Linked DNA regions of Pelodiscus sinensis. The protein of the gene in region 2 interacts with the protein of the main gene of each other region in a pairwise test. Links are inferred from orthologs where the notes say so. Each region holds a gene or a part of one and is shown on either strand. Other genes may lie near its edges. The genes, in order: EIF4A2, TRIM39, UBE2E3 and UBE2K.

Region 1 (7,414 bases), on a different chromosome or scaffold from region 2:
GTGAACAATCTAATGAGAGATATCCACTAAACTGACTAATCTAGCACCATAATTTTTCCTCAATATCTTTTAGACTTTGATCAATTTGGGGTTTAGAATCATCTTTGGACAACTATCCAAGCATAGCAAAACTCTGATCTTTGATCTGAGGAAGCCAAAGATATCCTCACTTGAGTGCTAAGCAAATTTTTTGTGCTGTATAAAATGGTCTGCAATTTGGTTTTAAGATTGCTATTTATACTTTCACTTGTATCACTAAACCATGAATCAATGGATTCTTAGAACCATTTAACATTGAATCCTGTAATTTTAATCTGGAGAACCACGAAACAGCTCCACTTTAAGATGAATAAATTACTTGAATCTTTTGAGGGTGAAGTAAACATGCGAGGAAGCATGGGACAGACACCACAAGACAATGATCATATGTGCACTGCAGTTTTCATGTTGCACAACTGCACACTCAAATGCATTGTTTCCACTCAGAACATATTGCTTATTTAAATATTTTTACCCCGCCTTTCCATTTAAAATATTCAAGGCGGCTTACAAAAACAATAAAAAAATACAAATATTAAAAAATTTACCACTTTATCATATCATTTTTAAGATTTCACCATTTGCTGGGAGATGCCCATTCAGAACTACACAGCATATCAGCTGTTACCTGCACCATGTCCCAGCATCATCTCCCGAAGTCACATCTTAACTCCCTCTTTACGTGGATAGGGAAAACCTAAAACAGAAGCTAGTCTGTTTCCCCATTACACTCAAAGCAACAAGGATTCTGAATGGATATTACAGTTACAGATTCCTTTAAAAAGATCTGTTAACTGTCCTTCACAGTTGTGAAACCCGAAACCTATGCAACGCGCAAGCAGCTTTTTTTAACTACACTATCAATACCTGTTGAGCCAGTTCTCTGGTAGGGGCCAATACTAGTGCTTGGGTCTCCTTGAGATCAATCTCCAATTGCTGCAGGATGGAAATAGCAAATGTGGCTGTCTTGCCAGTACCTGACTGAGCTTGAGCAATCACATCATACCCTAAAAAAAGTAGGATATATATTTACTCCTCCCACAAGTAATTCATATTTAGTTTAATTCTATTCCTTTTGAAGTAAGTGATCAGCAATTAAGACCTCTCCATTCATCTCCCTTTTTCAAGCAAGAATTAAAAGTAGTATGCCATCACCACACTTAAATACAAGTGCATAAAGTACATACATTTAAAAAAGACCTATTTTCTAACATGTATATCTGCTATTGATGACCAGACATAAAATTTTTTTGTGCTTGCCTACCTTTAATACATGGAATAATAGCTCTCTGCTGAATAGCTGAAGGCTTTTCAAAACCATAAGCATAAATACCCCTGAGAAGGGATTCTTTTAAATTCATATCATCAAAATTGTCAACAATTTCATTCCAATTGCTCTGTAAGAAGGAAAAGAGGCAGATTATTACTCTATTACCTATGCCCATACTGAATTTGGGTCTAAAGGCTATTATGCTGCTGCTCACCTCAATGACACCATCAGGGTCCATTCCCTCTGGGCCGCCATGGTCTCTGTTGCCAAAAAAGCAGGCTGTTAACACTCTTTGCAGCTAACAAATGCCATGTAGGACAGGATCTCTATATCTTGGATACCACTAATCATCTAATAAACCATCTTGTTAGTCTTTAAAGTGCTACATTGTCCTGCATTTTGCTCGGATACCACTAGCATTTCTCACTCCATTAGAACTTAAACCAGTGATTGATTGATTATGCTAGCAAATGCTTTAGCATTTTGCCAGCCTGGAAACTACATCTCCTTTGCACCTCATTCATATGTATGCCATTACCCCAAGTCTCCACTGTCGCCCGCAGCCAGGGGCTGCCCTGTGCAGGTTTTTTCCTACTGGTATTACTAAAGCGAGATTCATGCTGATTGCACACATTGACTGAGACCGCCATACACTCCCTCTGCATTCATCTGAGGCACTGCTATGGTTTGAGGGATACACCCTGCAAATTACAGACACATACGAAATTAGCAAAACTATCCTATCCCAGGAAACTGTCTTGGTTCCAATAATCTTGCAGCCCCCACGGAGATGGAGGGCCAATCATAGGCTTAGGCTGCCCATCGCTGGTGTAAGATCACCTATATATTTCTAGGCGCGGCACACCCCAAAGGGCAGTACGGCACGCAGAGCTAGCAGGCCCCAACGTGCAGCACCTCCCTCGCCGCGGAAGCGGCACGTGGCAGAGGGTGCGCCCCCCCCCCCCCCCAGCACTCTCACCCTAATGGCGGGATCTGCTCTGAGCGCTGCAGCACCCGCCTGGCGAGGGTGGAGGCAAGAGCGGCCCGCGCCTGGGCCAGCTCGTCTGTAGAACCCAGAGCAAAGAGTTTCCCGCGGCACCCCGCCTTGCTCAGCCACCACCGGCCAACTCTCGCGAGAGCTCCACCCACCCCCGGGGATTGCGCAAATCCGACTCACTACGCAGGCGGAGGAACGCGCCCGGAGGGCCGCGCCCCTCCCCCTCTGCGTGAAAATGAACTCGCCCGAAGCCGGGTTCAGGAAGCGCCGGAATGAACCAAAAGGGGCGGGAGAAGGGGTTGCAAGCCGAAACGCCATGGCCGGCTTCCTTCGAAGTCGAATGAGGTCGGGCCACAGGAGTGGGGGTTGTGGAGAGGCGGGTCCCCGCAACGGACAAGCTGCGGGAAGAACTGGCCGATCAGACGAGCGCGAGAGGGACCCACCGGGGCTGGCACTTCCCACCAACGGCAGCGAGCCGACATCGCACACGCTTCCTCCTCCCCCGCCTTCCTTTTAAAATCACCTCAGAACGAAAACAAGACACGAACTCGCCCCCCAAACCCAGGAATACCTGCTATAATCCGTAGTACCACCTGACATGTTCCGGTCTCCAGCCCCCACGTCTGTTCTGCCCTCAACTGAAAAGGCAGCGCCTTCCCGGCGCCGGCTTTATATAGCCATCCAGCTGCCGGAACTCGTTCCGCCCTTCACAGCGGAGGCATATGTCTATCGTCACACAGCCCGAGCCATATACATGCCCCGTTTAGAGTTTACCTGTGTCACGGATAGCCCCACGACCACGGAGTATGATATTTCTCGTGGGGTTCGTGAGGCTGCAACGGCCAAAAGATCGGGCGGAGATGGGGACTCTTTTGTGTGACGCGAAGGCGGAAGGATATTGCAGCAGTTGGCGCTGTGACAGTGTCTCACTCCTTCCTCATCCTGCTCGTGCCCCCACCGCTTGAGCACGGGGTTTCTTTGGCCGCCCGTGCTGCAGACAGCCTCAGAGCGGGAGGGGGAGGAGAGCGAGAGTGGGGGAGGGGGGAAAGAGGAGCGGGGTAGCTGAGTCCTAGAGAAAGGGGCAAAGAAAGAGGAAGGGAGCTGGGGGTGGAGGGTATGTGGGTCCCAGGAGGAGAGGGGGAAAGTGGCACTTGCTGAGAAGGATTAATGGGTCAAAGCCTGAGCATCAGCAGTGGGGAAAGCCCACATGACAGGATTTTATCACCAGTCTTATAATGCTGGTGCCAAGCCCGAGCTCCAGGAGTCATGGGATTATGGGAGACTCTAGGCATTCATTTATCTCCCTCCTCCCACCCACCAAAGTCTACCCCTTGTGGGGAAAGGCTGGAAAACCATCCTCTGAAAGTCTTCAAAATGAGACCAGCAGCCAAAGAACCCCAAAAAGAATTGAAAGAAAAAAAAATCTTTTGATATTTTTAAATCAATCTTGTGGTGTCTTTGGGGTGGGTTGATTGATAGTTTTGAATGCATGGCTTTGGCAATACTGGAGCAAGACAAGGGGAAGGAGAAGCTGTAGAACCCCGTGTGGAAGCATCTCAGAGAACAAATTGCAGGGGAAATGGGGTAGTGAGTTTCAGCTGGCCTGACCAGTTCAGTATATCCCAATTAATGTAATATATGTTATAATCTGCATCTGTTGTGTAAGGTAATATTAGAAAACCCCCTGACAGACTGATTCCTGCATCGCTTATGTGTGTGAGACCTAAATGACTACACAAATATGAAAGAAATATGGGACTAAAATGTGTTTGGACCAGAAAAGTCTGGGAAAGTTGGCAAACATGTTTTTTCCAAGCAAAGGAAAAGCTGATGGCTCCATCCAAGTTCAGTTGCAGACATTTGGCAGACATTGACATAACAGAGGTTGGAGGAACCCATCAATTTGTATTATAGAAAGCACCAGTGGGAAAGAATCCAGCATGGAACCTCTCCATTAGATTAATTGCACTTTTCTTTGAGAAAGATACATTTCTAAAGTTCACTGGACTGTAAAAGAGAGGGGCAAAGAATCCCAAGTTATCTTTCGCATAGGAAGAAAAGCAAAGTCCTGTAGTTCCGTAAAAGGCCCTGACAAAGAGAAAATCAACTATGTCTGGAAAGAAGAAACATGGGTAAGAAATCTACCTTGAACAAAGATTGTAGTTTAAGTTTTCATCTCTAGAAAGCTTATTTTGCTTTTATTTTCTTGTAATCGTTTCTTTATCTCTTGTAATTGAACTCACATAAGACCTATCACTTTTTTATTACATTTTGTTACATAATCTAACTCAGCCCAGAATTAGGGTTGCCAACATTCCTGACCAGACAGATTAGATGCCATTCATGGCAATGGCATCTGGTCTGTCCTACTGGAAAAGCTGACAACCTTAATTTGAACTGAAGTGGTTATTAGTTCTAGGTAAAATAATGAGTTGTGCTTTTGTTTCTTTAAAGGAAAACAAATCTTATTGCTTCTGAGTATTCCAGGAGAGGGCTGGATACTTTTGGGACAGTTTGGGGAAATTTCAGAACTTGGTGTGTGTTGGGGTTAACCTGAAAGTAGTAAACAACGCAGATTGAGACCAGTGTAGGGTTGTGGTAGTGTAGGCTGGCTGCTGGAGTTCTAGCACACAGATACTCAGGAAACTGCATGCTTACCTGCTGACTGTGGGTGTTCAGGCTGTGAGTCACAGCACTTGGGGTTACAGGACAAGTGGTGGCAACCTCTTACTGGTCTGGGTTGAACGGCAAAAGGTCACACTGGCACAATTAGATTTCTAGTTAGAGCTAATGGACTCTTAGATAAAGCTAAAAGATAGTGAACACGCCATTTCTTTCTGTTTAGTTAGATAAATCCAAATATACAGAGTGTACCTTTATGTTGTAAGGAAACCACAAAACTGTATATTTTAATGTTACTAGCAGGCTGTGCCCCATGCTCACTACGCTTGCCAACCCCTCCTCTTTCTGACTGCTTTCATGGCCTGAGAGTGAAATAATGTCATTCTGTCACCTGGCATGAAAAACATTTTATATAGAAAGAGATAATGAGGACTAAAAATCCATAGGTAAATGGGAAGATTTCTGTGGAAGGCAGGAGGTGCAAGGAACTAAGTCATCATTTTATGCATAATTTAATTTGTAATTAAAAAAAAATGATTCCAGGCAATAATCAGAACCTTTGTGTCTGCCTTTACCTCGTGTGCCTTAAACTTTCCTGATAACTAAACTTCTTTGAAAGCTCATGCACTGGCTATATTTTGAAAAATAGGTGTAAATAAGCAAAGTTATTAATTTTGAATATGGATAGTTATGTTCTAGTTTTGCTCCTATGAGAGCACTTGACCCAATCCACTTCCAACTGATGTCAGAGTGTTTTTTTTCCTATTGATTTCAGGGAGAGCAGGATTTGGCAGCATGGCTCCAACATGCGCAGACCCATACACTAGCTATTTGCATGACTATTTTGATTTATTATATGATTTGGTGATTTATTTCTCATTTGAACGGAGCACCATTGGACTCAACTACCTTTTGGTACATTCATAGGTGTAATATACCCAGGGAAGTTGGCTACAGTAGTTTGGTGGAGGGTAGCTGGGTGAATGGTTTTCTGTTGTCTAAATAAACTGCCAGAGACTGCAGGCAGGCACTTGAGTCTATTTAAGAGATTGCCTGAAGTAGCAAACTAAGTGGGCACCTGCAGCAAATTAAGGCCTGCTGGGCTATTTTAAAAGGATTCTTCCGCAGGTAAGGGAGGGGGAAGGAGAAGAGTGGAGGACTGAGAGGAGGAAGGGGGTGGCTAGAGAGTACAAAACAGTGAGAATATTTGGGTTGAAGCAGGAAAGATTTGCTCAGGTATCAGTGGAGCGTTTGGGGAAATAGCCCAGGGAAAAGGCTGCTATATTGGTGGTAGGGGGAAAAACCCTGAGGCTATGTCTACACTCGTGGCTTCTTATGTGAGAAATATGCAAATGAGGCTAAGTGTAGAATATTGTGGAGCCTCATTTGCATATTTAATGAGCCACCATTTTTAGAGGCTATTGCGCCAGAAGGAGCTGTCTACACTGCCCCTTCTTGCACAAGAAAAATCCTCTTGCACAATGCCATTACGCCGATTATTTTCAGGAATAACTGCATTGCGCAAGAGGGTTTTTCTTGCACAAGAAGGAGCAGTGTAGACAATTCCTTCTGGAGCAAAAGCCTCTTATGCAAAAATGGTGGCTCATTAGGTATGCAAATGAGGCTCGGTGATATTCCACGCTTAGCTTAATTTGCATATTTCTTGCAAGAAGCCGCGAGTGTAGACATAGCCTGACAATGGCTGCTATGTAGGATCCCTGGGCTGGAGCCTGGAGTAGTGGGCAGGCAGGCCCGGGTTCCCCCAAACCTCCGCAAACTACTAAAAAAAGTCTGTTCCTGGGTAAAGGAGGCCAGGATTAGAAGAGGGATTCCTCCCATTTCTTTGACTGCCAATGATGAGAATGGTTCAGTAAGCTGTGACTCTGGCCTCAAGCAAAGATAAAAGGCAGTGTGGAGGACCACAGCGAGCCTCTGAGGCATACAATAACTGCCTAGACATGCAGGATCCATGGGGATCCATGGGGGCCAGAGCATTGCCACATAGGTTATAAGGTCCCTGTAGACTGCAAGCAGCCACAAGCATAAGATATTTGCTATGGTTGTTCTTGGCATGTATACATAGGCAACAGGTGCCTGGAAGGGAGGGGCTGCAGGGAGGGCCATGCAGAGGAACAGGGAGGGGGCATGAAGGGTCACCCAAGTTAGCCATTAGAATTTTGATGGGGGCATAGGAGATCAGTGCACCTCTAAGTGCTGTCATGAGTCACCTATGCATACATTACCTACAGATGATGTAGTCCTTAATTTTTCAGATGCCTACCTGTTTGCAGTAAAATCCTAAAATGAATGAGTCGGTGAGAACTTCCAGAGAATGAAAACAGTCTTTCTCACTACATCAGCTTGGATGGTCATTGCTGTCCACAGATGTATCCTGAGCTTTTTATGATGGGACTACAAGGCTAGATTTATAAAACAAACAAACTCTCTGTTCCCTTCTCAAAGAAACCCTCTTTGTCAGAAAGATA
Region 2 (7,603 bases):
ACCTCCCCGGTCCGGCACCCTCAGGACCTGATTGGTCCCCGTTGAGAGATTTTACTAGATCAAGGAAAGGCAGAAGGACCAGAAATGACCCCCTCTTCCCCACTGCTCCCACGGCCCCATGCCGGGCAACTTTGCTGTCAGCAACCCATTGTCCTGCTGGCTTGTAGGGCTCCTAGCCACTAACCTTCTCATCCCGGAACATCTGTGGTCTAGAGAGCCCCAGTTTAGAGAGGTTCAACTTGTGTTAACATGAGTGTCATATGTAAGACGTGGTAGGTGACTGTCCCGCTCTCCTGAGGTGGAGGACTGGGAATAATTCTGGGCATCACATTTTGGGAAGGACATGCACTAGTTGAAAGAGGGTTCAGAAGAGGACAATTAAAAGGATGAAGGGTTCTGACAACCTGACCTGAGAGGAAAGGTTAAAAAAATACTCCGTCTGTTCAGCCTTGAGGAGAGAAAATAGAAGGGAGCTGTGCGGATAGTTTTCAAAGATGTTGAGGGTTGCTATAAAGATAAACGTGATCAGCTGCTCTCTCTGTCCTCTGAAGAAAGGACAAGAGTTAACTGGGTTCTGCTTCAAGGGAGATTTGGATTAGATATTAGGAAAACCTAAGGAGGAGGGCAATTCAGTTCTGGAATGGCTTCTAGCAAAGATTGTGGAGTCTCAGTGGTTGGAGGCTTTCATGACCTGCCAGGACAAACCCTGTGCAGGGATGGTCTTGGTTTACTCGGTCCTGCCTCAGCACAGGGGGCCAGACTGGATGACTTTTTGAGGTCCCTTTGTCTAAATCCTGGTAGGCTTATTATTTCCCTGTCAGGTGGCCTATTAAAAATAAAGGCCTTAAGCACTGTACAGAGAAAAACCACACAAGAGGCCCCTGCCTGAGGCTGCTCACAATTTCCTGCTTACATTAATGCCACTGAGGGCATTTATTTATTCATCTTGTAACACCAAGAGATCAGCCCCCCACTCCCTCCAAATAGATTGTAAGAGTCAGTTCTTGACTGGAAGAGCTTACAGTTTAACTAGACAGGACAGGAGGCGAAACGGAGGTACAGCCAGGGAACGTGACTTGTCCAAAGTCAACAGCAAAGCTAGGAGCAGGCTACCTGAGTTCGGATTCTCAGTCCAGTGCTCTACCCATTGGACTATGCTTCCTCTCTTGAGGTAATTCGTTATATAAAGATTCTGAAGCTACCAGGGAAGGACAAAATGAACCAGGTTTCTGTCCATTGTTAAAACGAGGGTTGTAAATAACAATTTAAACAACTAAAATTATAACGGTTAATGGTTAACCACTGTCAGGAAGCTGGAAATGGGTTCCCATGCATGCGCCCAGGCCAAGTGAGAGTGGCGGGGACCCTGCCTGACCACCCCACCACTGAGGTAGAGTCCTGCCGGTCTACCTGGTCTGCCCCAGAGCGGGCACCATCTGCCAGCCCAGGACAGCCACAGAGTCCCACCTGCCTATCCTGTCAGATTACCTGGGTCGAATTGGAGCCGCTGGGGCCCTGTTTATCACGCCCATGCAGCTAGAGTCCTACTGGCCTGATGCAGGCGTGGCCCTGCCTACCACCCCCACATGGTCGGTCGGCCTCAGCCAGGGCTGCTACAGCCTGGCACGGTTGGCTGTCCAATTGCTACCTGGTAAGCATTCTGGTAAGAAATGCTTACCGGGTAACTGGTTAACCTTTTATATCACTACTTAAAACAGCTTCTTTATGATGAAGGCAGCCCCAAAAGAGAGTTAAGCAGGGCAAAAGACAGTAACTTTATTTAGAAATCCTGATCTTTTTTACCCCAATTTCCCCCCCGAATGTCTATTAAGGCTGATTTACACTGAGTGACCAACCTGTAACACAGAACTTCTCTCCTACCTGTTAATTGGGCATTTGAATTAAATGGGTGTTACCAAAACAGATTTTTAAGAATTTGATTTCCATTCAAGTGATTGAAGGGCAGCTATAAGCAGAATCTGGGAGAGGCACGCAAGCTAAGTGAAATCAGAAGAAACAAGGCCACCTAGACCAGTCATTCTCATTCATGAATACACTACCCTTAGGACTATGCAAAGATCTTCCAGGAAGTACAAGTCATCTAGACATTTGTCTGATTTTTACTACCGGCTCCATAAAAAGCACTAGTGAAGTCAGCACAACCTAAGCTGTCACACGACTTGTTCACACAGCTCTATAGGCTATCACTGAAACAGAAAGCTAGTATTTAGGTGCCCTTTGGTTGACATTACAATTGTAGGACAGGGATGAGACTCATCAGCACGGGTCTCCGTTGCAGCTTATTCGACAGCAAACACAAAGCCGGCCGCCGTGTTGCGGTCCAAGGGGCTGTGACGTGTCTGTCTTTTTATGTCCGAGTCCCTGCATCAGGCATGTGTCAGTGAGGTGACGCCTGGGGGTACGCCGGGCACATGTGACGCCCGAGAGGCGCAACACCCTCCGCACAGGCGGAGCGCCGCGGGCCCTAGGGGGGTGTTACAGCTCGAGCCTGCTATGGGGGGGGAGGGAGATGCGGGGGGGGGGGGGTGAATCCTCACAGCCGGGCTGTGTGAAAGGGGGGGCAAGGGGGGGGGGGGACTTTGCTTTGGCAGCAACAAATCCGTGATGCCCACTGGGGGGGGGGGCAGGAGAGTCTCTGCTGGGGGGGGGCAGGAGAGTCTCTGCTGGGGGGGGGTCTCCTGGGACACGGGGAGGGGGCCGGTGGGGGGAGGGGCGGGGGGTCTCTCCCTTGACAGGGGGTGTCTCTCTCCCCGGCGTGGGGGGAGGGGCGGGGATAATTACGGTGGGTCACACAGAAATTCCCCGCCCCGGACTCACCTCCGCCCGCCTCCTCCCGGCGGGGAGAAAGGAGCCCAGGGCTGCCCCGGTCCGGGCCCAGGGCGGAAGTGACGACACTAGACACTCGGGGCCGCCCCCCGGAAACGAGCCGGAAACGGGGGAGGAGAAGCACCGGGCTTCCGGCCGTTGGCATGTCGCAGGGTGCTGACCTCACCGGAAGTGACGTTGGGCACCCGCCTCCGGAAGTTGACGTTGAGAAGCAGGAGACGGGTCTGCCCCGACCGGAAATGAGGACTCCCCCTCCCCCCCAACCGCCGTTTGTGGAATGTACCAAGCGCGTCCCAGTGTGGAGCGCAGCAAATTCACCTCCAACGCCCCGTCTGTGGATTGTACCAAATCGCCCGATTGCATTGGGCTGTACCAAGCTCTAGTTTGTGAAAGACACGCGACTCCGACCCCCTTCGTGGCAATCTACATATGCCAAATTCATACCCCCCCCCCCTTTGTGGAATGTACCAAATTCACACCTCCCCCCCTTTGTGGAATGTACCAAATTCACACCTCCCCCCCTTTGTGGCATGTACCAAATTCACACCTCCCCCCCTTTGTGGCATGTACCAAATTCACACCTCCCCCCCTTTGTGGAATGTACCAAATTCATACCTCCCCCCCTTTGTGGCATGTACCAAATTCACACCTCCCCCCCTTTGTGGAATGTACCAAATTCACACCTCCCCCCTTTGTTGCATGTACCAAATTCACACCTCCCCCCCTTTGTGGCATGTACCAAATTCACACCTCCCCCCCTTTGTGGAATGTACCAAATTCACACCTCCCCCCCTTTGTGGCATGTACCAAATTCATACCCCCCCCCTTTGTGGCATGTACCAAATTCATACCCCCCCCTCCCCTTTGTGGCATGTACCAAATTCACCAACCTCTTTTCTGGACCGTGCCAATTTCATCCCCCCCTTTTGTGGACTGTACCAAATTCACCAACCCCCTTTGTGGACCGTGCCAATTTCATACCCCCCCTTTTGTGGAGTGTACCAAATTCACCAATCCCCTTTGTGGACCGTGCCAATTTCATACCCCCCCCCCTTTTGTGGACTGTACCAAATTCATACCTCCTCCCCCTTTGTGGCATGTATCAAATTCACCAATCCCCTTTGTGAACCATGCCAGTTTCATACCCCCCCTTTGTGGAATGTACCAAATTCATAACCCCTCTTGTGGAATGTACCAATATCATGCCCCGCCCCCTTGGAAGGTGTCATGTGGTTGGATTTTAAAAGGCACGTGCAGTTCATTGCTGCGCCCACTGGCGTGTTTGCCCCTCGCTCTGTGCCGGGTGGGCCGCGTGGGGTGTCTAATGAAAGCTGGTGCTCAGCTGACTTTGTCTGTGCTGCTCGCGTGCCATCTCGGTGCGCGAGGTTATGCATATGGGCTCGGTGCTTGTATTCAGGGTGGCCATATTTCCCTATGCGCAATACGGGACACCACGGCGGGGGCCTTGCTGGCTCTTGAGGCTTTAGGCCTGCTGGCGGGGGGGGGGGGGGGAGCTGCTAGTCCTCCAGGCTTCAGCCCTGCAGAGGGCAGGGGGGCAGCCGCTGGCACTTGACGCAATGCAGGCAGCTCCCCACCCATCCTGCCCCACTGCAGGGATGAAGTTCACCCCCAGAGTGGGGAGGGGAGGTGCCAGTGCTTGGGGCTCCAGTGGCTGAAGCCCTGAGTGCTAGCGGGCTCCCCGCCTCCCCCACAGGGGAAACACGGGACAATGTGCCCGTTTTTTTAAAAAAGTTGGGAGGCCGGGAGGAGGAGGTCTTGAATAAGGGACTGACAGGGTACACATGGGATGGTCACCCTGCTTATATTGTGCATGTTTTCTGTCTGGGAGACAAAAGGCGGCACTGCCCACTTAGGCTGTGTCTAGACTACATGGCTCCATCGACAGAGCCATGTAGATGAGGGTTGTAGGCAAAGGGAAATGAAGCGGCGATTTAAATAATCGCGGCTTCATTTAAATTTACATGGCTGCCCCGCTGAGCCGACAAACAGCTGATCAGCTGTTTGTCCACTCAGCGCGCTAGTCTGGACGCTCCCCTGCCGACATCAAAGCCCTTCGTCGGCAGCCCCGTTATTCCTCGTGGGATGAGGTTTACCGGGGCTGCCGACAAAGGGCTTTGATGTCGGCAGGGGAGCATCCAGACTAGCGCGCTGAGCCGACAAACAGCTGATCAGCTGTTTGTCGGCTCAGCGCGGCGGCCATGTAAATTTAAATGAAGCCACGATTATTTAAATCACGGCTTCATTTCCCTTTGCCCAATAAACAAACCTACATGGCTCCGTTGACGGAGCCATGTAGTGTAGACGTACCCCTGTTGTGAGGGGTGGTGACCCAGTGAATGTTGCATGGACAACGGCTCTTAAGGGTGGCCATTTGACACCCAAGGAACACACAATGGCCCCTCGCTTAAGGAGGACATACCTGGATACTCCATGGCTCCTTGCCTAAAAAGGACACGGTAATCATGTGATCAGCTCCATTTTCAGAGGTACTCAGGAGAACGATGGATTTCCCTCCGCATGGACAAGATTATAAAAGTACCCAGGGGGTGCCTCCATCTTTGTCTTCACTCCTGCTCTTGACTACAGAAGCGTTTTTGCTATGGACAGAGAGCCAGGAAGAAGCGTTGATGTATTCTAACATAGGCTGTACTCCAGCGACGTTTATCTGGCAGTTTGTTAACATCTCTGCTAAGACCCTGCAGCAAGCATTTGCTACTTAATGTATGAAATGGGCTTTAACAATTCTGCTTCCAACCTTTTCCTTTTATTAATAAACCTTTCGATTTTAGGTTTTAAAGGATTGGCCCAGCACGCTCTTTTGGGTAAAGTCTGAGGTATAAATTGTCCTGGGACTGTGGGACCAGCAGAGGTGTAGCGAGGGTAGTATGTGCCCAGGGGCAAAAGCAAAATTTGCACCCTCTCTGCTTCCCATCGTCGCTGGGTGGCGGGGCCCCGAACCTGGCGCACGGCTGAGCCCGGCCCTAGGAGAAGTGGGTGGAGGAGGAGCAGGCGAGCTGAGGGATGACAGGGGGAGTAGAGGGGGAATAAAGTAGTGCCCCCTTAATGTGGCGCCCAGGAGCAACTGCTCCCCCTCCCCAGGTAAAGCTGGAGTGTCGAAGGGGTTTGCTTGTGGAACTTCTTGCTGGCCAGAATGCCAGCTACCGGTTTGGTGCCTTATAGAAGAGGACCCCAATCTTGGGCTGTAATGGCCCTGGTTCGAAACAACTCACCCTGATTTGACCCTCTCAATGGTGCCCCCAGACCACCTGTTTATATTACAGTGGTGTAGTCATGCTTGGATCCGCAGAACCAGGTCTACTGAGCTTTGGATCAGGACCTTTTACTTTTGGTTTTCTCTTGATGGTGGTTGTAACCGTGAAGCCGAGGTCTGTGGGTTCTGTTGTAAAACTTCGATTCTTATTTGTCCCTTCAGCGTGAGCTTTTATGACGTTGTTTCATGAAACTCATTTCTTTCGTTTCTTTTGGGACTAGAATGTGGGGAGGCGTGACACGGGACCATCCTTGCTGAAATTCCTGATAGGCTGAATTCTGGGTCTCCAGCTACTTTCTATGGGAGCTGGGGGGTTTTCTAGACACTGGAGATGGGCAGTGACGTCTAGCGCCCCCCCCCCTCCCCGAGGTTACACAAGCAGAGAAGGAGAGCGCGGTCGGCCTTGAACTCCAGATCAAAAAAAGGGGAAGAACAGAGAGATTTGCTTCTGCAACTCCTAGCTGGCCAGAGTGGTAGCTGAAGGGCGGATTGGTGCCTTATAGAGGAGGGCCCCAGTCTTGGGCTATAAGTAGCCCTGGTTCTAAGCAATGTGCCCCGATCTGCCCCTTTCAGCAAAGCCCAGACCACCTATTATATTACAAAAGGAACCACATTCATACCCACCCCATTGTGGAAGGTACCAAATGCATATCCCCCCCTCCATGGGGGGGCGTACCAAGTAGAGCAGGGGTTCCCAACCTTTTTCGGTCCCCGTCCCCCCTTGGCTTTTAGTAAACCTTCCCGTACCCCCTATTCAATATGAAAGGAAATAAATTCTAGACTCTAGAATCCACAACTTTTTTCACTCACACTACTACTTTGGGAATATTTCAGTTAGGATGATCTAATTATTTACCAAATATTCCCTGTACCCCCTTGACAAGCTTCTCGTGGCCCCTAGGGGTACACATACCCCAGGTTCAGTATCAGAGGGGTCGCCGTGTTAGTCTGAATCTGCAAAAGCGGCGAGGAGTCCTGTGGCACCTTCTAGACTAACTGAAGTGTAGGAGCATACGCTTTCGTGGGCAAAGACCCACTTCGTCAGATGCATGCATCTGACGAAGTGGGTCTTTGCCCACGAAAGCTTATGCTCCTACACTTCAGTTAGTCTATAACAGTGGTCTCCAACCTTTTTACACCCAAGATCACTTTTTAAATGATAGACCAAGCCAAGATCTACCGCCCCGCCCCTTCCTTGAAGCCCCGTCCTCTCTATTCTCCTCCTCTCCATCACTTGCTACCCCCAATCCTTATACTGCTACTTTCAAAAATTAAATCCCCACCATTTCTCGCAGCTACTCATCTGTGCTGTTGCTCAGTGAGTAGCTGCTCCTCAAATGAGGAAATCTAAGGTAAATGTACTGCGCAGGCGCGCAGTTCAGAGAGGGCTCAAGAGCTACTCTTAGGGTATGTCTAAACTACATGCCTCTGGCGGCAGAGGCATGTAGATTTGTTGTTTTGGCA
Region 3 (7,586 bases), on a different chromosome or scaffold from region 2:
GCAAGTTATAAAAATAATATAACACTTTAGCTTCTTTTCTGAGGGATGCCCACACTACAAATGGTACCATTGCAGCGTGGCAAGTATACACTCTTACCACAGTGACAAAATAAGGGTATCTGTCAGTGCAGTAAATCGATCTCCTCAAGAAGAGGTAGCTAAGGAGATGGAGAAGTTCTCCTGCTGACCTAACAAAGTCACATGGTGCAGAAATTTTCACAGTCTGGCACCTGAGCAATGGAGCTAGGTTGACCCATTTCACTGATAGAGCAGGACTAATTTAAAGTATCTAACTTAGATACTATTATTTTGGAGCTCTATTTCTTTACAAGTACAAAATCAGTGGAAAATAGGTAGTATTTACTGTATGGCTAATGCTTTAACATTCAGGGAACTGGAATACCAACTCCTCTCTCAGGTCTTTATAAAAGTTTGAGCCATGCTGAATAAGCAAAACACATAGTTGTGCAGTAGAGAACTGACTCTAAAGTTAAAATATGTTTTTCCACTGTTACTTTTCAGATCTATTTGCTATTGGCTATAATGTAATATGTATTCCTAAAAAAAAAATGAATGTAAGGTTTAGCAAATTGTTTCATCTCAGAAGACCCTTGCATATGAAAGGATTAAAAGTCTGCCTGTTTCACATGGCTGAAGTTAAAAAAACGCTTCCGTGTATACCTACTGAAAGCCAGTCTAACATACATTGTAAATACAGACATTTTATCAAATAGACTACAAGAGGTTTGTGAAGCTTTTGACACTTAAATATAGAGGGGATATATTCATCTCCAGAGTGATTTTCCAGGCCCTAGTGAAGCAAATGTCCCACTGAAGTTGGTTATTTTTGCAGAATAACATGTTATATTAGGATGCATAAAGGATGTACTGTATGTTGGCATGCAAACAAAGTTATAAGTACAAACCCATCTATTTCTGTGCCAATAACATTTTTATAAATATTTTTATATTCAATAAAACTGATTGTGTGAACAGTACACACAATCTATCGAAATATACCCTAAGGATGGTACTCTACCAAGAAAGAAAAGGCTAATCTTTTGAACGCAGGTGGAAACGATGTTTCTAATTCTTATATTACTTGCAAGGATAAAATTCATATTGGTGAATAAAAGCTTTTAGAAGCCAGTATTTTCATTTTACAAGTTATAATGTTCTTAAGCATCTCTCCCAAAGAAATGTGAGAAGCTTATTTAAAGGTTAGCTTACTGACAGTATCATTATTGAAGCTATTGAATGAAAATCTCATAACTCAAAAAAGTTTGTAATTCAGTAAATGACTCCCTAACACAGCTTTCATCTGCATTAAAAATATAGTGCAAATATGTCTCTCAGTCACTCTTATAGTTATTACCTTTTAGCACTAGTAGATAACTTAGCAGTAGTTTTGCTGGATAGTTTGGTATTTTTCTTCTGCTGGGTTGCAGAAGGTTTCCTTTCTTCTTGTTCTTCAGGTTCTGGTGCTGGTGGGTCCCTTTGATCTGCATCTGAACTACCACTGCTGGTACTTGGACTTTCATCATCTGACCTTTGCCTATCACTGGACATCGTGGTGAACTTTGGGAAAGAGGGACAAAGGAAAAGGGGGTGGGAAGAATAGAAAAGCAGAGTTCACTTTAGGTTGCAGTTTGACAGTTACAAAGTAATATTTACACTTTTTAAATATAGAAAGCTCCAGTTTTTTAAAGCCCAGCTACATTTTTTCATACTTTAGACAATATATCAATTGTTTACTTTGTTCAAAGCCATGGGACAGGGGTTTTAGAAGGGTCCTGCAAGCAATGAACATTAATAACTTATGACACATTGTAAATAACAGACCTTGCTAAAAATGTTGTTTAAAAAGTCACTAATACCCTGCAAATATTTACACTGGAGCAGAGCATTTTATTAGGTCCGAGCAGCCAAATTACCCCCCTCTCTGAGACAATATATTGACAGTAACAACACTCCAACTGATTTCAGATTGAAATTTACACTCACTCTGTCGCTTTGTATTTAAAGGGCCGTGAGGAGGAGGTGTTTAAAAAACACTATACATTTAAAACAACCCAGAAAGCAGAAGCCTCGGTTATTTACATGACCAGCAGCAAGAATTGCATTTTGCTACCACAAAGCTGCTGGAGGGGGAAGAAGCATAATTAAAACTGCACCTTCTGCAAAGCTTTCAACGCCACCGATTCTTGATCAGTTTCTACAAAACACACCGACATTTTTAGGGGAAAAATATATAGACACACGCGGGAGGCACCCAAATTGGAGGAGGGGTGCTGAAAAAGAAAATGAAGCTCCTAGTAGGAAACTGCAGTAGGGTTGAAATGCAGCTTTGCACACACACTCGCCCCCGCCCCCCCTCCCCCCTGCTCGGGCTGGCTTTGTGGGGCGAGATCGAGCTCCCAGCGAGGAGGGTATGGAGGGGTTGTTATGGTAGGAGGCTCTCCAGGATCAGCATGGTATGTGTGCACCAAGTGAGGCGTGAACTCAGTCCCGGCTCCTCTCTCTCCCGGCCACCGACAGGCAGCAAGCGCTGAAAACAAGAACAAAGCTCCCTCTACCAACCTCCCCCCCCCCCCGCCTCCTCCTTCTCCTCCTCCCCCCACCAAGCTCGCCCAGGCTCCTGCTGCAGCCACCTAACCCGCTTCTCCTTTACCTTGCAGGCGTCCTGTCCCGGTGTTAGGTCGGAGGGGAGGGATGGAGGGGGGAAGGGAAGGGGATATGGTATCTGTGGAGGGGCTGGAGGAAGCCGGGGGGATATAAAGCAGCAGAGGAGGCTCTGTGGCCGGGCAGTGTGGAACATTGAGAGTCGGAGCAGGGGGGAGAGACGGGGGGAGGATGCAGTGCGGCTTGATGGCCTTAGGGTGGTGCTGGCGTGTCCCCTTTTTGCAAAGCGGGCTCCCACGGTGGGGCAGGGGGTAAGAGGAGAGAGAACGCGATCTTCCCCTCGGGGGAAGGGCGCCGGATGGAAGAGAAGAGCCGAGCGTTCTATCGCCTCCGCCCCCTTGTGTCGCTACGTTCGGATTCAGAATGTTGCAGTCAGCAAAGTTCCAAACGACATGAGGGCGGGGGGAGAGGGCGCTCGCTCCCTGACTGGTAACACCCCCCCGCCCCCCCGGCTGGGGCACGCGCACGCTCTCTCGCTCTTCTACCTTTGCAGGGTGCGTGCGTTCTCCCGTGCTGGCCAAGGACAAAGAGTTGGTCCCTGTGCACCCCCCAGGTTGGTCGCTTGGCCTTTGCTTGTGTCTTACTAGTGGCTGGTTTCTCTCCTGCCTCCCCCCTCCTCCCATACAAATACCTTTCTCGCAAGCTTGCAACTCTGGAGCAGTCACTACGGGAGGGGGAGCCTGAGATCCTGAAATTACTTCAGTGCCATGCACAAGTGTGCAAAAGCCTGCTGGGGCATAGCCAAAGCAAGGAAACTGATTTGAAAGTAGCTCTGCTTTTGCCCATTCTTTCTGTCTCTTCTTACTGCTGTCCATAAGGGTGGTCACTCAGGAGTAAATATACTTAATCTGGGCACTGGTCGTGGCTGAGTTGGGTTGTGAGTGCCTTAACATACAGCATAGCGATTATGAGTGAAAGTTGAATCCTGCCAGTTTTTGTCCCAGCACCAAATCCCACTCCTCAGTGGGTAACATGTTCAACCTTTCTTGCTGCACAAGCAAAATCTGGGCCCTCATTCATGTGCCCCAGCACAAGATCACCTCAAATATCCAGATCCTTCTGAACCTAGCCAATTTTTGGACCCCCAGGCCTGAAATTAAAAATGCATAAATAGAAAAGATGTTTAGCCACTCTTAAAATTCCAGATCTTGATGTCCGATAGAAACTGATCTGGCATGTAGATCAGTCTCAATTCTGACAAATAATGGCCACATACCCAGAATCTGTGCCATCAAAATAGACAAGAAGTGCTGCTACTATCTTACTATCACTAGTAATAATAATAATAATAAATAAATAATAACTAGGGGGCTGCTCCTTGTGTTTGCTTCACTTACCAAGCCCCTCTCAGTCCGCTTCCATGGCCCAAGAACGTGAGAGTGTGATAACATCATTCTGTCACCCGTCAGGAAAAACATTTTTAGAGAGATAGAAATGTAGCCGTTAGTCTGGTGTAGCTGAAACAAAAAACGGGACTATGTAGCACTTTAAAGACTAACAAGATGGTTTATTAGGTGATGAGCTTTCGTGGGCTAGACCCACTTCCTCAGATCAAATAGTGGAAGAAAATTGTCACAATCATATATACCAAAGGATACAATTTAAAAAAATAAAGACATATGAAAAGGACAAATCAAATTTCAGAACAGAACAGGGATGGGGAGGAGGGGGAAGGTGAATGTCTGTGAGCTAATGATATTAGAGGTGATAATTGGGGAAGCTATCTTTGTAATGGGTAAGATAATTAATGTCTTTGTTTAAACTTTAAACCAGGAGGCAACCAGACAACTCTCCAACACCACATTTTACAAACCTCTCTCCTCTGATCCCACCTCGGAATACCAAAAGAAACTACACTGTCTCCTTAAAAGCCTCCCTACAGCTACTCAGGAACAAATCCACACAGAAACACCTTCTGACCCCCGACCAGGATTGTTCTATTTGCTTCCCAAAATCCATAAAACCTGGATACTCCGGACATCCCATCATCTCAGGTATCGGCACACTCACTACTAGTTTATCCAGCTATGTAGACTCTCTTCTCAAACCCCACGCAACCAACACCCCCAGCTATCTCCGAGATACTACTGACTTCCTAAGGAAAATACAAAACATTGATAACCTCCCCAATAACACCATCCTTGCCACCATGGACGTAGAAGTTCTATACACCAACATCCCACATGAAGACAGATTACAAGCAATTAGAAATACTATCCCAGAGGACACCACTGCCAATCTGACAGCAGACCTATGTAACTCTGTTCTCACCCACAATTACTTCCATTTGGGAACAACTTATACCTCCAGATCAGCAGCACAGCCATGGGTACACGCATGGCCCCACAGTACGCTAATAACTTTGTGGCTGACTCAGAACAACATTTCCTCAACTCCCATCCCCTTTAACCCCTTCTCTACTTACGCTACATCGATGACATCTTTATGATCTGGACGCATGGCCAAGAAACACTGGAGACATTCCACAGAGATTTTAACAACCTACACTGCACCATCAATCTCAGCCTGGACCATTTTACAGAAGAGATCCATTTCCTGGACACCACAGTACAAATCACCAATGGAAAATTAGACACCACTTTCTACAGAAAACCCACCGACTCATACAGTTACTTACATGTCTCCAGCTCCCATCCAGAACACACCATACGATCCATTGTCTATAGCCAAGCCCTTCGATACAACCGCATCTGCTCTAATCCCACTGACAGAGACCAGAAACTTCAGGATCTCTACCAAGCATTTATAAACCTCAACTACCCACCTGGAAAAATAAAAAAGCAAATTGAAAGAGCGAGACGAATACCTAGAAACCATCTACTTCAAGACAGACCCAAGAAAACCAACAATAGAACACCACTTGTCATCACCTACAGCCCCCAACACATTATCAATGAGCTACAGCCTATACTGGAACAGGATACTAAACTCCAAGAGGCTCTGGGAGACAGACCCGTAGTCTCCTAGGGTATGTCTACACTACAACGTTAATTCAAACTAACAGCCGTAAGTTCAAATTAACTTTCATAAGCGCTACACAGGCAAATCGCTAGTTTGTACTTAATTCGAACTAGCGGAGTGCTTAATTCGAACTAGGTAAACCTCATTCTACGAGGACTAACACCTAGTTCGAATTTAGTTCAAATTAAGGGCTGTGTAGCCACTTAATTTGAACTAGTGGGAGGCTAGCCCTTCCGAGCTTGCCCTGGTGGCCACTCTGGGCACAACCAGGGAAACTTGTCTGCCACCCACCCGGCCCAGGAGCCCTTAAAAGGGCACGGTCTGGCTACGGTGCTCGTGCCAGTTGCAAGCCTGCCAGCACCCAGCCAGCAGCCCAGACCAAGAGGCGGGCGCCCGCCTGGTCTAGTGCAGAGATCGTGGACCTCATCCAGGTTTGGGGGGAGGCGTCCAACGTCCACGACCTCCGCATTAGGCACAGGAAAGTGGTTGTGTAGGGCAGGATAGCTGCCAGCCTGGCCACCCAGGAGCAGGTTTGCATGAAAATCATGGTCCAGTGAGACCCCCAACCCTGAGCCCTGAGCTTAGAACATAAGAACATAGGAATGGATGTACTGGGTCAGACCAAAGGTCCATCTAGTCCAGTAGCCTGTCTGCTGACAGCGACCAACACCAGCTACCCTGGAGGGGATGGACCGAAGACAATGACCAAGCCATTTGTCTTGTGCCATCCATCTCCAGCCTTCCACAAACAGAGGCCAGGGACACCATTTCTACCCCCCTGGCTAATAGCACTCCATGGACCCAACCTCCATGAATTTATCTAACTTCTCTTTAAACTCTGTTCTAGTTCTAGCCTTCACAGCCTCCTGCAGCAAGGAGTTCCACAGGTTGACTATTTTCTTTGAGAAGAAGAACTTTCTGTTATTAGTTTGAAGCCTGCTACCCATTCATTTCATTTGGTGTCCTCTAGTCCTTCTATTATGGGAACTAATGAAGAACATTTCTTTATGCACCCTCTCCACACCACTCATGATTTTATAGACCTCTATCCTATCCCCCCTCAGTCTCCTCTTTTCTAAGCTGAAAAGTCCCAGTCTCTTTAGCCTCTCTTCATATGGGACCTGTTCCAAACCCCTGATCATTTTAGTTGCCCTTTTCGGAACCCTTTCCAAGGCCAAAACATCTTTTCTGGGGTGAGGAGATCACATCTGTACACAGTACTGAAGATATGGCGTACCATAGTTTGATACTTCCCCTCCTCCTTCTTCCCTTGGCTTCCCCCTTCCAGCTCCCTCGTCCCAGGTTTCCCCCTCCCCTCTCCCACCCTCTCTCTTCCCCTCTCCCACCTCCTTTTCCCAGTTTCCCCCAGTTTTGTTAAATAAAGAGAGTTTCTATTTTTGACCACATGTGTCCTTTATTTTGTACATCAAGAAGGGGGGCTAGGGACGGGTAAGTGGAAGGAGGAATGGGGTACGAGCCCCCGATGGGGAGAACTGGGGTGGCTCTGCGGGCTCCTCGGGGTGGAAACACTTCTGCAGCCCCCCGATTGGCACCTCCAGATGGCAGCCTGCGGCAAGTGCAGCCGGGCTGATGGCCGAGTGCTGTGATGTGCCGAGTGTGGGCACTCAGGGCATTCCAAGCCAGGACTGCTTTGCTGTCCCTCATCGAGGTAGACAAGCAAGCAGGGAACCATGAGAACTGTCTGTCCGGGGTGGGGGTCGGGTCCCTTTAAGCACAGCCCTTGGATAGCCTGAGACAGCAACTCCATGCTCTAAGTCCTAACCTGATGCCCTGCCGGCACTGCTTCCGGCCAGCCTTAACTTCGGTTCAGGGTCCAGTCAATCTGGACATGCTAGTTCGAATTAGCAAAATCCTAATTCAAACTAGTTTTTAGGTCTAGATGCACTAGTTCGAATTAACTA
Region 4 (7,120 bases), on a different chromosome or scaffold from region 2:
ATCTCTGAATTGCAGAAGTTGTTGATCTGCCCCTCTTCCATCCTCTTCTAAAACTGCATTTGGCTGGTTCCCACTTAGCTAAGTCCAGAATGCACTTTTGGAAGAATGTAAATGGCAAACTCTGTACGTTCTCTCTCCAAAATGCAATATGGTAGCAAATGCCATTTGGTGGCATTTGCAGGGAAACAGATTGCCAGCTTTTATGTTCAGCTATGGCTTGAGACATCACTCCAAGAATGTTTAAGAGTAGATAAGATCAGCAACTTTTCCTTGATGCAAGACAAATTTTAAATTAAAACACATTTTAGCTATATAATTTGTGACAATCAATTTTTCTTGATAAAGTTGTGAATTCAGATTGCCAAAGTACAAAAATATCTAGTCATACCTCTGTACATCTCATACTGAATGTTTTCACACTACCGCTGGAAAAAAGTTTAATCGGACTTTGAAAAAAATCAAGTCAAGGTATTCCCAATACATGTATCTAGAATCAGTGTGTCATTGTAATAAACATCCACAATTACATCAAAGAAGTATGTATTCCGAATACCCATGAAAGCCTGTAATATAAACAGTAATTATATATGTACTGATAGAAATAGCTGAATCCTGGGAGGGGATGGGGGGATAATGCTCTTTAATATTTAATTTACAAGATGCAGGAATCCTGCCAAGAGTAAGGGTTGTCTCAAAATTCACAAATTCAGTTCACCCAAACAAAGTAATTTCTTTTTTATCTTCAATGTAATCAAAATCTCCGGCACATATATTAAACAGGAATTTAAAACAAAATTGCTCCCTGAGTCCCAAACTTGTCTTAAGAAAATTAAAAGATCTAACCATGTTTATATCACTGATGCATATGGCAAGGTTTCTCTTTCTAAATAACACAAGGGGGAAATTTGGAGTGCTCTCTTATATAAAGGTCTAAGCAGTCAACTTTAAGATGTATTGTTCAGAGAAAGTAAACACTTTGGGATATTCTAATTTTAGCATATAAATACACAGCTGACCATTCAGGATCTGTTCTAATTTAGTATTTGGGTTCTGTAATCATTACACACTGGAACTCACATTGAAATCAACTTGAGCATCACATGCATAATAGCTGTAGAAATTAAGCTCTAAGATTTTGTGGAGAATAGTTTATTTTGAGCTGTGTAACAATAATGCCGTTAGCACATTATATTCAGAAGGACATCAACTAGACCAATTCTAAACATGTTTTCTGTAAGCAACACAAATCCTCAGGAAGTTAGTAGCATCTTGGTTTTCTGACTATGAATCTAGCTGACTGGTACAGTGTCTAAAATCATCGGTTTTCAGAGTCAAACTGCACATTAATATTTCACAAGCATACAACATGCCTCATCATCCTCATGAGTATGATGGTGATGACACAAACATCAAAACCTATCTCGCTGACATTTACCAACACAGATTTACAGACAGCGAAAATAACTCTGACACAATCACTGTAAATGCTATTCTATAGTCCCTGGAAATACACTTAAAGTTCTTTATCACTTCCTCCTTTCCTTAATTACTGTACATCCCTTACAGGGAATGTATCAAGAATGATTAATAGGGCACCGGGATGTCAGGTGGAGAGAGGGTTAAAGATATGCACACCAAGGTGACATAACCTATGTTGGGGGTAAAAGGAAGCCTTGGATTAAGGAAATCTAGTTAAATGGGCTTTTATTTAAAAAAAAACCACACACACAATGTATCACTCTGCAGTATAAGCCACAGGCTAACGAGGGAGCTGGATGAAATGGGACGTGTGTTCTTACCCATCCTGTCTTTGCCCCATCTCCATTTAGGTCGCATGGGAAAGCCTCTCCCCAGTGCCCCAGCCGTAAAATAGAGGAATCTCCCGCTGTATCCGTGGGCAGGGGACCCCGGAGACGACACCTCCCCACACACGCGCGCGGCCCGCCCCGTTATTAGGCTCCCCTGAGCCTTCTTTTTGGGCCGACCAAACCAGACTGGGTGGTGGAGGCGGCGCTTTTCCCGGGGGTTTCCCGGCCTTGTCCAGGCATCTCGCTCGCTGCCCGGCCACACTTCCTACCCCTTGCAGGCCTGCCCCCGCGCCGAGAATCATCCGCTGCCGGAGCGGGCCCAGGCTCCCCGTCCCCGCTGCTGGGTCCCTCATCCTCAGGAGCCGCCGTTACCCTCCCCCTCAGCCGAGAGGCTGGGACAGACCCTCCCCCAGCCGCGGGAGGAGAAGGAGGGACTGTCGGGCGCCCCGCACACCGCCAGGGCCGGGGGGAGTCTCTGACCTCCTCGCTCTTCAGCACCTCCTTGAACTCCCGCTTGATCCTCTGCACCGCGATGTTGGCCATCTCTGCAGCCGGCAGCCACACGCCGCTGCCTCCGAGCCGGGCCCAGCGAGCTCCGCCGCTCCCGCTGGATAATTCCCGGCCCCACCAAAATGGCGCCCGCGTCGAGCATGCGCGGTGCGGCCCCCGGCGCCTCTCAGGCGGGGCCAGCACGGTGTGTGTGTGGGCAGCCGATGCAGGGAGCAGAGCGGCCCCTGAGCTGGCGGGTCCGCGCTGGGGGGAAGGGGCTGCGCGGGACTGTCCCACTGGCTCGGCGGGACGGGTAACGCCCTGCTGCGCCGCCGCTCCGTAAGCGACACCCGCCACCCGGCCTGTCACGGGAGGAGCCGCTTTCCTGCACACGCACAGCGCGAGGTCCCTGCGGTGACACCCCTCACCCGCCAGCCGGGCAGAGCTAGGGCCGCTGGGTTGTGATGAAGCAGCTGTGTCATCCGCACGGTCGGCGTGTTGTTACACGCACGTGTCGCTCAGCGCTCGCCTCAGCAAGCGACGGGTTAACAAGCGCCGGGTGAAACGCGCCTCCCTCAGAGCCCGGCGGAGCGGGGCCGGGCGGGCTCTGGGCTCTCCCCTGGCGGCTGGAGTTGGGGCGGCAGAACTCGAGAGGCTGCAGCAGCGAGGAAAGCGGAAGGGCCATTCAGCGCCTCAGCCTCCGAACAGCGCGCGCGAGCGCCAGGGAGCCGGGCTGCTAACGGGCTCCTTCCAACCAGAGCTCGCGGACATGCCTGACCCCTGGTGGCCGCTCGCTGGAAGGAGTAGGACTGATGTGTGGGCCTTTCCAGGGAGCGGGGGAAGCCTGTAGTTCAGTAGTCTCCAGCCTTTTTACACACCAAGCCAAGAGCTACCGCCCCGCCCCTTCCTTAAAGCCCCGCCCTCTCTATTCTCCTCCTCTCCATCCCTTGCTATCCCCAATCTTTATACTGCTAGTTTGTTTGTTTTGTTTTAATTCTTCTGTAGGAAGAGGGTTTTCCAACATTTGCCCTGTCTAGACTGGACCAAATGTCAGAAAAACCCTTTCTTTTGAAAGGCCCTTTATTCCTCATGGAAAGAGGAATATAGGGGTGACCAAAAGATCATGTGTGCTCTTCCACTAAAAAAGCAGAAGAAATTAGTCGAAACAATAGTAAAGAATAAATTTGTGAAGCATGTAGAAGAACATAATTTGTTGGACAAAAGTCAACATATTTTCTGTAAAGGGAAATCCTGTTTTACTAATCTATTAGAGTTCTTTGAAGGGGTTAACAAACATGCGGACAAGGGGGATCCAGTAGATATATACTTAGATTTTCAGAAAGCCTTTGACAAGGTCCCTCACCAAAGGCTCTTGTGTAAATTACATGGCCATGGGATAAGAGGGAAGGTCCTTTCTTGGATTGAGAACTGGTTAAAAGACAGGAAACAAAGGGTAGGAATAAATGATAAATTTTCAGGATGGAGAGGGGTAACTAGTGGTGTCCCCAACGATCAGTCCTGGGACCAATCCTTTTCAACTAATTCATAAATGATCTGGAGAAAGGGGTAAAAGCAGTGAGGTGGTAAAGTTTACAGATCATACCAAACTGTTTAGGATAGTCAAGACAGAAGCAGACTGTGAGGGACTCCAAGAAGATCTCACCAAACTGAGTGATTGGGCAACAAAACGGCAAATGAAATTTAATGTGGATAAGTGTAAAGTAATGCACATCGGGAAAAATAACCCCAACTATATGTACAGTATGATGGGGGCTAATTTGGCTACGACAAATCAGGAAAGAGATATTGGAGTTATCGTGGACAGTTCTCTGAAAATTTCTACACAGTGTGCAGCGGCAGTCAGAAAGGCAAATAGGATTCTAGGAATTATTAGGAAAGGGTTAGAAAATAAGACCCAGAATATCTTACTGCCCCTGTATAAAACTATGGTACGCCCACATCTTGAATACTGTGTACAGATGTGATCTCCTCACCTCAAAAAAGATATTTTGGCCTTGGAAAGGGTTCAGAAAAGGGCAACTAAAATGATTAGGGGTTTGGAACGGGTCCCATATGAGGAGAGGTTAAAGAGACTGGGACTTTTCAGTTTAGAAAAGAGGAGACCGAGGGGGGATATGATAGAGGTATATAAAATCATGAGTGGTGTGGAGAGGGCCGATAAAGAAAAGTTATTTATTAGTTCCCTAAATAGAAGAACTAGAGGACACCAAATGAAATTAATGGGGAGCAGGTTTAAAATAATAAAAGAAAGTTCTTCTTCACACAGTGTGTAGTCAACCTGTGGAACTCCTTGCCAGAGGAGGCTGTGAAGGCTAGGACTATAATAGAGTTTAAAGAGAAGTTAGATAATTCATGGAGGTTAGGTCCATAAAAGGCTATTAGCCAGGGGATAAAATGGTGTCCTTGGCCTCTGTTTGTAAGAGGCTGGAGAGGGATGGCAGGAGACAAATTGCTTGATTTGTCTTCGGTCCACTCTCTCTGGGACACCTGGTGCTGGCCACAGTCGGCAGATAGGATACTGGGCTAGATGGACCTTTGGTCTGACCCAGTACGGCTGTTCTTACGTTCTTAACAAACGCATCCCTGGATGCAGAAGAGTGTTTCTGGGATATCTCCAGAATCCTGAAAAACTCCTGCAGTCCAGCTGTACCCCCACCGGGTTGAGACAGGATGTATAGGCTTTGGGGTGGAAATGAGGGATTTGGGTGCGGGAAGGGGTGAGAGGTGCAAGCTCTGGGAGGAAATCTGGATGCAGGAGGAGGTGGAGAAGGGGACACTGGCTTGGGGTGGGGGGTCTAGGCTGGGCAGAGTTGGGGTACTAAGCAAGCCACTGGCTTGTGGATGTGAGGGTGCAGGAATTTGGGTTGGGGTATGTGAGGGGCTCAGGGCAGAGGGTTTCTGCAGCAGGGAGCAGAGTGCCAGCGGGGGAAGGTTTCTGCAATGGGGGACAGGTTTCTGCAGTAGGGGGCAAGGTGCCAGTGGGGACTGATTTCTGCAGGGGGGCAGGTTTCTGCAGAGGCAGGACAGGTTTCTGCAGCAGGGGGGCAGGAGGGACAGAGTTCTGTGGCTGGAGGCAGGGGAGAAGGAACGGGGGCGGTAGGGCAGGGACAAGGTTCTGTGGCAGGAGACAAGGTTCGGGGGCAGGGGAGAGGGAACTGGGTTCAGGGGCAGGGTGCCAGTGGGGACAGGGAGTCCCCTACACCAGCCTCAGAGGGAAGCCTCCGTTGCGTGCTCCCTCTAGGGCCGACACTCTCCCCCCCCCCCCCCGGCGGAGGAAGGATGCCCCATCGAGTGCCTCCGCCGGACACCCCCCCCCCCGCAGAGCAGGGAAACCCACGTATGCGACCCCTCAGGGCCGACACACACACCCCCACACACACGGAGAAGGGAAGCCTCCGTTACGCGCCTCCTCCGGGCCTGACTCCCCCTCCCGCAGAGAAGGGAAGTCCCAGCACACACCTCTGGGGACTTACCCAGTAAGTTTCTGGAGCACCAGGGAGCTGGGGCAAGGAAGCAGCTAGCGCATTTCTGGAACGCTCGGAAGTGATGCGCAGCTTTAGGACTTCTGTCCTCCCCGTGGGAAGCTGCCACTACCTCCATTGTTGCTCGAGGTAGGTAGTGGGGCTTCTTGGGGGTGGGGGAAAATGGAGGGTCCAGAACACCTTGCGATCGACTGGTCGTGATCAACTGGTTGGTGACCACAGCTGTAGTTCCCTTTGCAAAAACAACCATGTCCTGAAAACGTGCCTGTTTTGCCTAAATAACCCTAAGAAAGAGGGACTTTGGGAGCTCTTAGCCCATATTTTTGAAGGGAGCTGGTATCCCCAAAGAAACCTTTATTTTGTTTACTCGTTCTACGACAAGACTCTGGAAAGATCAAGTGAAGGCTCAACATACCTGCCCAGTGGACAATAGTACTTTGGAACTAGACCTCAGAAAAGGTGAACTATGGTGTAGCCAGATAATGTGCCAGCAAAGGGGCTGGAGCAAGAGCTGAGGCAGTGGCCATATTGATGAAAGAAAAGTAGGCCACACCGTTGTGATAATATCAACATAAATTGATACATTTGGAGGATAACCCAGCTAAGGTGTAATCACACTCTTAGAAGTGTTGTTCACATGGGCATTAAAGTCTCCCAAGAAATGAATAAATTCACAGCTCTTCTGGTAGTATAAGAAGCCAAGGACAGATATGTCAATTCCTGGATGATGCACAATGTGAATGTTGTATCCTGACAATTAGAGAATAATTACCTATAGTCTCAATGGTGCCACAGAGAATGGTTTCTTTAGAACTGACTCAGACAGTTTATGATAAGGATGTTAATTATCAGGCATTTTGCATTGACTATTTGATTAGTTGATATAGGATGCCTCCGTCTTTGAAGTGTAGCAACAGCCATAGGGCTGTTGCTACACTTCAAAGGTGAAAGCATTGCGTGGAGCCTACGGTCAGAAGGGGGGGACTCCCCCACTGACCCCAGCCTCCATGCAGCGCTGCTGCTTTGAAACACCATGTGGCATTTCAAAGTGGCAGTGCCACACAGAGCCCAAGGTCAGCAGGGGAGTCCACAGTTGATCCTGGGCTCAATGTGGTGCTGCCGCTTTGAAATGAAATGCTGCAAGGAGCCTGACATCAGGCTCCCCGCGGCATTTCAATGCGGCAGTGTCGCACTGAGCCCGGAGTCAGCTGGGAACTCCCCAGCTGATCCCAGGCTCCACACAGCACTGCCACTTTGAAATGCTACGTACGGCCTGGGGACACCTGGGGCAGCGCCACATGGAGCCCGGGGTCTGGCTCC

What was found.
Region 1: the proteins of TRIM39 (region 2) and EIF4A2 interact in binary tests that used the Homo sapiens proteins (3 or more experiments, as listed by UniProt). The two-hybrid records come from large-scale screens. The link is inferred for Pelodiscus sinensis from reciprocal best matches to the Homo sapiens genes TRIM39 and EIF4A2.
Region 3: the proteins of TRIM39 (region 2) and UBE2E3 interact in binary tests that used the Homo sapiens proteins (3 or more experiments, as listed by UniProt). The link is inferred for Pelodiscus sinensis from reciprocal best matches to the Homo sapiens genes TRIM39 and UBE2E3.
Region 4: the proteins of TRIM39 (region 2) and UBE2K interact in binary tests that used the Homo sapiens proteins (3 or more experiments, as listed by UniProt). The link is inferred for Pelodiscus sinensis from reciprocal best matches to the Homo sapiens genes TRIM39 and UBE2K.

What each region holds. Positions count from the first base shown.
Region 1 is NC_134720.1:47,414,970-47,422,383, forward strand, and holds the start of EIF4A2 (eukaryotic initiation factor 4A-II), read right to left. Parts: upstream 3,020-7,414; 5' UTR 2,907-3,019; coding exon 2,878-2,906; intron 1,570-2,877; coding exon 1,524-1,569; intron 1,437-1,523; coding exon 1,304-1,436; intron 1,047-1,303; coding exon 907-1,046; intron 1-906. UniProt on the Homo sapiens protein: ATP-dependent RNA helicase which is a subunit of the eIF4F complex involved in cap recognition and is required for mRNA binding to ribosome.
Region 2 is NC_134742.1:11,322,841-11,330,443, reverse strand, and holds the start of TRIM39 (E3 ubiquitin-protein ligase TRIM39), read right to left. Parts: upstream 3,014-7,603; 5' UTR 2,993-3,013; coding exon 2,839-2,992; intron 1-2,838.
Region 3 is NC_134717.1:48,105,653-48,113,238, reverse strand, and holds the start of UBE2E3 (ubiquitin-conjugating enzyme E2 E3), read right to left. Parts: upstream 3,014-7,586; 5' UTR 2,819-3,013; coding exon 2,672-2,818; intron 2,546-2,671; exon of another isoform or gene 2,235-2,545; coding exon of another isoform or gene 2,175-2,234; intron 2,150-2,174; exon of another isoform or gene 2,005-2,149; intron 1,579-2,004; coding exon 1,376-1,578; intron 1-1,375. UniProt on the Homo sapiens protein: Accepts ubiquitin from the E1 complex and catalyzes its covalent attachment to other proteins. In vitro catalyzes 'Lys-11'- and 'Lys-48'-, as well as 'Lys-63'-linked polyubiquitination.
Region 4 is NC_134715.1:92,844,511-92,851,630, forward strand, and holds the start of UBE2K (ubiquitin-conjugating enzyme E2 K), read right to left. Parts: upstream 3,009-7,120; 5' UTR 2,461-3,008; coding exon 2,289-2,460; intron 2,126-2,288; exon of another isoform or gene 2,111-2,125; coding exon of another isoform or gene 2,078-2,110; intron 1-2,077. UniProt on the Homo sapiens protein: Accepts ubiquitin from the E1 complex and catalyzes its covalent attachment to other proteins. In vitro, in the presence or in the absence of BRCA1-BARD1 E3 ubiquitin-protein ligase complex, catalyzes the synthesis of 'Lys-48'-linked polyubiquitin chains.